Cricetulus griseus: one gene and its partner. The protein of the gene in region 1 interacts with the protein of each later gene in a biochemical or structural test. Links are inferred from orthologs where the notes say so. Each region holds a gene or a part of one and is shown on either strand. Other genes may lie near its edges.

What was found.
Region 2: the proteins of Rp2 (region 1) and Arl3 form a complex in vitro, tested with the Homo sapiens proteins (2 studies listed by BioGRID). The link is inferred for Cricetulus griseus from reciprocal best matches to the Homo sapiens genes RP2 and ARL3.

Annotation. Positions count from the first base shown.
Region 1 is NC_048604.1:125,172,830-125,176,653, forward strand, and holds part of Rp2 (protein XRP2), read left to right. Parts: intron 1-1,152; coding exon 1,153-1,267; intron 1,268-3,824. UniProt on the Homo sapiens protein: Acts as a GTPase-activating protein (GAP) involved in trafficking between the Golgi and the ciliary membrane.
Region 2 is NC_048596.1:15,033,752-15,037,575, forward strand, and holds part of Arl3 (ADP-ribosylation factor-like protein 3), read left to right. Parts: intron 1-2,595; coding exon 2,596-2,781; intron 2,782-3,824. UniProt on the Homo sapiens protein: Small GTP-binding protein which cycles between an inactive GDP-bound and an active GTP-bound form, and the rate of cycling is regulated by guanine nucleotide exchange factors (GEF) and GTPase-activating proteins (GAP).

The DNA of each region.
Region 1 (3,824 bases):
ATTCTTGATACTCCTGCCTTCACCTCCTGAGGGCTAGCATTATAGGCATGAGTCAACATGCTTGGCCATTTAAGCATATTTTTTTTTAGTTTATATATCTGACTATAAAATGATGGGTGAAGAATAGTATATAAAATTAGAAACAGTGGTAAGATTCATTCTGATACTTTAAGACTTTATAGTTAACATCTAGCAGTAAGGCCACAGTAAGAGTCCTGATAAAGGATTTGAATTTCATTCAATTTGATGGTGTGATAGTAATATAACCATAGCATGAAGTATTATGAGCGTTACCACTGATTTTATAGAATAAACTGGAAGATGTTGGCAATCAAGTAAATACAAATTTGTAAAAATATGTAGGTAACTGATTTAAAAAAAAGAATTCTCATTTGTGGGGTTTTTTTTGAGTCATGGTTTCTCTGTGTAGGCCAGGCTGTCTTGGAACTCACAGAGATCCCCCTGCCTCTGCCTCCTGAGTGCTGAGACTAAAAGTGTAGGCCACCACTACCCAGCCTAAAAAAAATTCTTTAATTCATCATCACAATAACTTGAATTAAAATCAGAGCTCTGTTGTCTAATAGTTATATGACCTTTGGGAAGTTCTTAACCATGTGACATCTTAGTTGTCTCATCTATTTAAGGAAGATGGTGGTGGTACTCATCTCATTACAGGTTAAATGTATTATGTGTGTGTGTGTATATATATATATATATATATATATATATATATAATATATATACACATATAATATATATGTATAGTGTTCAGAAAACTTCATGTACATAGTAAGTGCTCCCATATGTGTGGTCTATCATTCTTGCACAATACTACATAAATTGATGTGATGACTTTTAAAATTAACATGAGGTAGTATTTTTCCATTTTATTTTAACATCTTTATTATATTTAACAAATAATGTTGATTGTAATGAACTATGGTATTTTTCATTGAACATTTGCTGTATCATCAAATTAAACTAACATTAAATAGTTGTAAAGAAGTGACAGAAGAGTCTGAATTACTCAGAACTAAAACAAAAATTAGAATGCTGTGTTGCATTGTATACAGGAAAATGCTCAAATAACAAAACCATGTTTTCATCCCAGAAGTTCATTCTAAAATCTGAATGAAATTTTATTCTCCACAGATGGTTGGTAAGGGGTTTTTCCTAGTGCAGACAAAGGAAATGTCAATGAAAGCGGAAGATGCTCAACGGGTTTTCCGAGAAAAGGCATCTGACTATTTTCTTCTCCTGAACAAAGGTATTTTCTGGATGACTGGGGTACTTTTGTGGTTATTTCTTGATTGACTCTCTTCTTCTATCTTGCCTTATCTTCCTCTTTTGTTTTGTTTCTTTCCCAATACCCAAGAAGCCCTGTATAACTCACTTTTTTTCTGTTTGTGTTGTTAGTACACATTTCTGTATTATTTTAGTTTTCATTTTATTACTATTTTGCCTCTGTACTGTTGCAGTACAATTGTTTGGCTGTACTGAAAAAGAAGTAAGAAATATAAAGTCACTATTTCTGTTTTCATATAATTAACTTCTCATGAAAAATTATAATTTTCCCTAGTAAGTGAATACCACCAGTAAGTTTCAGATATTGAAGTAATATGCATGAGAGAGGAACTAGAATCCCTGTGCCCTGCTGAAGGGCTGCTGCTTGCCTGTATTTTCCTATGGGCATACTGACTCTGGAGACCAAAGTACTCTCTGTTGGGAGTAGGGACATTGTTTGCTCAAGGCTCTAAGCTGGTACGACTAGCAATATGGAATGCTAATTAGGTTTACCTACAGACCGGGCACATCTGTATGTGTGTTCTTTTTGTATAAATAAATTATAATGAACTCCAAAATTGTGCATGAAAAAAGCATTGGAGGACTGTTAGGATAATTTTAATCAGTAATGCTTTGTGTAATTGAGCTATTAAGTGTTAGCACAATATTTCATATCCTTTTCTTAGTTATTGTAGTAGTGGCAAGGACTTAATCCAGTGCTTGAGTCTACCTCAGAAAATGTTTTGATATAGGAACTTTCAAATGAAATCTTGGAAATTAGGTTAACTCTCATCAACTTTCAGGAATGGAACTGAGCAATTAGTCTAGTGGATTCCTAAAGTGTAAGGGTTAGTGCTGAGGTCAGTAATATGAATCAAGGGTTTATGTATTTGTATAATACTAGTAAAGAAGTCTTACAGAATTGCTTCAACCAATCTGTCTTTAAATAATACAACGTGAAATTCACATGGAAGTAGTAAAATGTTTTGTTGCTGGAAAAAGTAGAACTAAAACCAGTGAGCAAATGTTATGGGAATTTCAGGAAATAAATGCCATACAAACAAGTCTTAAAAAAACAGAGATGCTAGGGCTAGAGAGATGGCTCAGTGGTTAAGAGTATTGACTGCTGTTCCATAGGACCCAGGTTCGATTCCCAGCACTGAGATGGCAGCTCACAGCTGTATGTAATTCCAGTTCCAGAGGATCTGATACCTTCACACCAATGCACTTAAAATTAATTAAAAAACAAAACTAGAGATGCCTACAGAAAGTACTCAAAGACTGAAGAGGTTATGTCAGGTCAAAAGAATCAGCTTGAAGGAGTTTGCATTGGCAAAATTTGGGGACAGTTTGGATCAAAAAAAGAATAAGGGGGCTGGGGTAAGAGTGGCAAGAGTGCTTGCCTAGTATGTTTGAGGACCTGGATTCCATTTCTAGCACCAAAAGAAAGAAATAAATCCCACAAAGAATAATGCAGGTAATTTAACAACTGTTAATGCATCTGTCGAAAACGAGAAGCCTGAGCAAGGTAGTGCACACCTGTAATCCCTGTACTTGGGAGGCAGAGGCAAGAGGAGTTCAGGAGTTCAAGGCCATGCTAAGCTACATAATGAGTTCAGGACCAGTTTGGGCTGCTTGAGACCATTTCACAAAAGAGGGATGGGCAGTGGTGGCACATGCCTTTAATCCCAGCACTCAGGAGGCAGAGACATTTGGATCTCTGTGAGTTCGAGGCCAGCCTGGTCTCCAGAGCAAGTTCCAGTACAGCCAAGACTACATAGTGAAACCCTGTCTCAAGAAACAAACAAAAACACCAAAGAGGGGAGGTGAGCATTATAATTACAGGCTGCCTCTCTTGCCTTCTGCCTCCTTCCTTTCCTGTCTTTGTTCTTTTATGTTTTAAATGTGGAAAAGGGGAAATATTTCCATCTGTGTGATAACTGAACCAAGATAGGAAAAAAAAGTTAGATGACACCACAAGGAAACAATGAACCAAGTCCAAAATGCAAGACATTTTAGAAGATAACTAGCTAGGTTTCCTCAGATGAGGGAACTCTTTTAGATTAAAATAATCTAAAGAGATGAGATAATTAATACAATGTGAGAACCTTGATTAGATATGGGATTGATGTGAATTGGGCTATAAAGGTAGTTTTGAAACTAGGAGTGTGAAGGTATCTATAGGCATTTAATTTTCTTAGATATGGAAATAGTATTGTGGTTAGGTAGGATATGCTTGCTAAGTATCATGGTGTCAGCAAAACAAAGATGAAGCATATGTGTGCACACAATGTATAGTAAGTATGTAGGGGCCAGCAAGATGACTCAGTTAGTAAAAGCACTTGCTATCAAGCTTGATGACCTTGCCTTCAGCACATGGATCCCACATGGAAGAAGGAGAGAACTTAGTCCCACAAGCTCCCCTCTGACTTCTATAAGTGTGCCATAGCATGTGTGCCCACACATATCCACATCTACAAAACTAAGTAAATATACAAACAAAAAATTGTTTTTAAAAAAACTATGTGGCTAAATTTGGG
Region 2 (3,824 bases), on another chromosome or scaffold:
ATCTCGAACTCACAGAGATCCACCTGCCTCTGCCTCTAAGTGCTGGGATTAAAGGCGTGCGCCACCACCGCCCAGTGATGAAAGTTTTTTTTAACTTAACCAAATTTAATATATAAGATATGAGCAAATGGGATCTGGAGAGATGTCTCATAGGTTAAGAGTGATGTCTGCTCTTCCAGAGGACCTGGGTTCAATTCCCAGCAACCACATGGTGGCTCACAGCCATCTATAGTGGGATCGATGCCCTCTACTGGCATACAGGCAGAAAAAAATATCTATCTATATATACATATATAGATATAGATATAGATAGATATATAGATATAGATATGCAAATAGGACTTTGCCATACCCCAAATCTGGGATTTTTCGCAGACCTTGTAGAAAGGTACTCACAAACACTACACTACTTTTTTACTCACAAAAACTTTCTTTTTTTCTCTTTTTTGTGAATATCTTTTCTTTTTTTATTCTTTAATTACTACTCATATTTACATATCCTCCCCCTTCTTTTTTTTCTTTTAACTTCTTTTTTTTTTTTTTTTAATTTATTTATTACGTAGAGTGTTCTGCATGCATGTACGCCTGCACTCCAGGAGAGGGCACCAGATCTCATAACAGATGGTTGTGAGCCACCTTGTGGGTTGCTGGGAATTGAACTCAAGACCTCTGGAAGAAGAGACAGTGATCTTAACCTCTGAGCCATCTCTCCAGCCCTACAATTAGCTTTTCTATTTACATTTTTCAATACTTAACTGACCAAGAGTAACTTTGGCAAATTCAGAAGAATAAGAAGAAACATTCAAGCCAAAACTAAGCTACTCATTTTCAAGCCAGGAAGCAAGGTCAACTTTGAACACAAGCATGGCTTCAACAGTAGGGTACATGTTAACATGGCTAGATATATACATACATACATACATACATACATACATACATACATACATACATACATGGTTTGTATACATAGTCTGGACCATTGAGGCCAGAGTGAGGGGATCACCAGGAGCAGCAGGGGGAAGGGAGTCCCTAGAGAGGCATGTTTGGATCTTAGTGCAGAAATTTTGGCCTGTTTCCAAAGGCAGAAGTTCCCATGTTTTTGTTCATTTTTCTTGGAAAGTGGGCTGAGGAGTCTCTAGACTCCTGGAGACAGCACAGCTTCCTTCCATGCCCCAATGATTTTCTGGGTCATCACTGCAGTGAGCCGGTGCTGTACCTGAGCTTGGGGCAGGGGTGCCCTGGGAGTTAGCTGCCTCTTGAGCTCTCTACTTCCTTTTTGTCTTTTTGTCTTTGTTTCTGGAGACAGGGTCTTGTATCCTTGGCTGTCCTGGAACTCACTCTGGAGACCAGGCTGACCTCAAACTCACAGAGATCCATCTTCCTCTGCCTCCTAAGGCTGGGATCACAGGTGTATGCCACCATGCCCAAAGCTTTCCAGTTTTTGTTTTTGTCTTTTTGAATGCTGGATGTTTAAAGCAGCTAAAATGTAAGCTTAGAGGGAGACAGTCAGAGTCTGTCCATTAGGTACTCGTATCTACTCACTTAAAATTACTGGAGATAGCCGGGCATTGGTGGCGCAGGCCTTTAATCCCAGCACTCGGGAGGCAGGGGCAGGCAGATCTCTGTGAGTTTGAGACCAGCCTGGTCTACAAGAGCTAGTTCCAGGACAGCCTCCAAAGCCACAGAGAAACCCTGTCTCGGAAAAAAAAAAAAAAAAAAATTCCTGGAGATGGGGAGAGTTGGTGGCGCAGGCCTTTAATCCCAGAACTCGGGAGGCAGAGGCAGGCAGATCTCTGTGAGTTCCAGGTTAGGCTTCAAAGCAATATGGAGAAACCCTGTCTTGAAAAAAGAAAGAAAGAAAGAAAGAAAGAAAGAAAGAAAGAAAGAAAGAAAGAAAGAAAGGAAGGAAGGAAGGAAGGAAGGAAGAAATTCCGAGAGACAGAATTAGCATACAGTTTAGAGTTCTGCCTGTGGCCTGGGGGACCAGTAAAGTCATGGTCCCTTCTGGTTCTTTCAGGATGTGAGTTTGATGAATGTGGATGCATGGGTCATTTGGAGATTGAGACTAATAGACACAATTATCTCTAGCTGTCATTTCATTTCTACGCATACATGCATGTGCACACATGCACTAAGTTATTTGTGGGGGTGTGGTCTAGCCCAGTGAGTGTCACTTGCTTAGCATGTATAATGTCCTTGGTTCAACCCCCAGCACCTGAGGAACAATGAAAAAGATATTCTCGAGGGATAAGCTTGGATAAGTCTGAAATTGCTAGCCACCGTCTATATCTTCCTTAAATAGTGGTTCTCAGGGAGTTTCTCAGTGTGGCCTGAGTCACTTAGAACAGAGCCACCTGGGGAGCCTGTTACTAGTGCTTCCTCGATGCTGACTCTGACTTTCTGTAGCTGTCAGCATCCCTAATTTGAGCCCAGAAACTGCCTAGGGAATCTTACAGAGGTGCAGCCCGCAGGTCTCTGCCTTGAAAGCTGCTGATGATCAACTTAACTACATAATGGGTTGTAATTCCAAAAGCGTGCTTAAATGTCACAGTTCTCAATCTTCTCTCGTCTTTCCTTCCCCCAAAAATGGTCCAGGAACTAACGGAACTGCTGGAGGAAGAAAAGCTGAGTTGTGTGCCCGTGCTCATCTTTGCTAACAAGCAGGACCTGCTCACAGCAGCCCCTGCCTCTGAGATTGCCGAAGGGCTCAACCTGCACACCATCCGGGACCGAGTCTGGCAGATCCAGTCCTGCTCAGCTCTCACAGGCGAGGGTGTCCAGGTGAGGCCTTGGCAAGGGTCTGTTCTCGGTCAACGTGGCAACTCACTAAGGCAGTGTGCCTCACTGGTAGGGTTGAACTAGACCAATGGTTCTCAATCTTTGGGTCCCTTTCAAAGGGGTTACCCAAGACCATCAGAAAGAAAAAGAACAAAAACAAAAAAAACAGATATTTACATTATGATTCATAACAGTAGCAAAATTATAGCTATGAAGTAGCAACAAATTATTTTACAGTTGGGGGTCACCACAGCTTGAGGAACTGTATCAAAGGGTCGCAGCATTAGGAAGGGTGAGAACCACTAATCTAGAAGCAAATGGCCTTTGATTGGCAGATGAAGGACTGTAGAAGGTGAAGGGCACAGAAGGAGGTTGATTCTTTACTGCTTAGAAACCAACCAGATCCCATGAATGTTCCAAGGAAGGAATAGCCCAGCCCCTTCAGCACACTCCGCTCACTTGGAGGAGGGCTCAAGAGGTGACTTGGAGATTGTTCTAACTGTGGAATTGTTTGACGATTGTGTTGGCGTTCTATGTTAGGTCTAATATTATGGATGCTAAAAGCCTGTACTCCCAAGGTGATTGTCATCGCCACCATACAAATGCTAGTTAGCCTCGAAATACCTGTTTCTTCTCTTAGTTCTCTCCCTGCCCTTGAGCTTGGTGTCTGTTCCCAGCTACTGGTATTGATTTCCCACTGGGAGGCTTTATGCTGAGGAACTGACTGAACATCCCTTTGTTTAATATTAATTTGGGACAGAACACAGCCCTGTCCCAGGCATCCAAGAGGCTTTATTCTCAAAAGAAGCCACACACTTCCTGAGAACTGAGGTGCTTCCTACCAAGCTTCCTCAGCTCAGGGACACTCCGTAGTCAGTCAGCCCTTCCAGATGACCCAGAATCCTCCACATTCCTCATTTGAAGCATCCAGTGTATCTGCCAGGAAGTGAAACGGTGCTGTGAGCACATACGGTATGTCAATAATGGCATGACAGCTTGCTTTTCTCTCAACTTGGCGTGTTGGGTTTCAGACCTGAGGTTTGAGC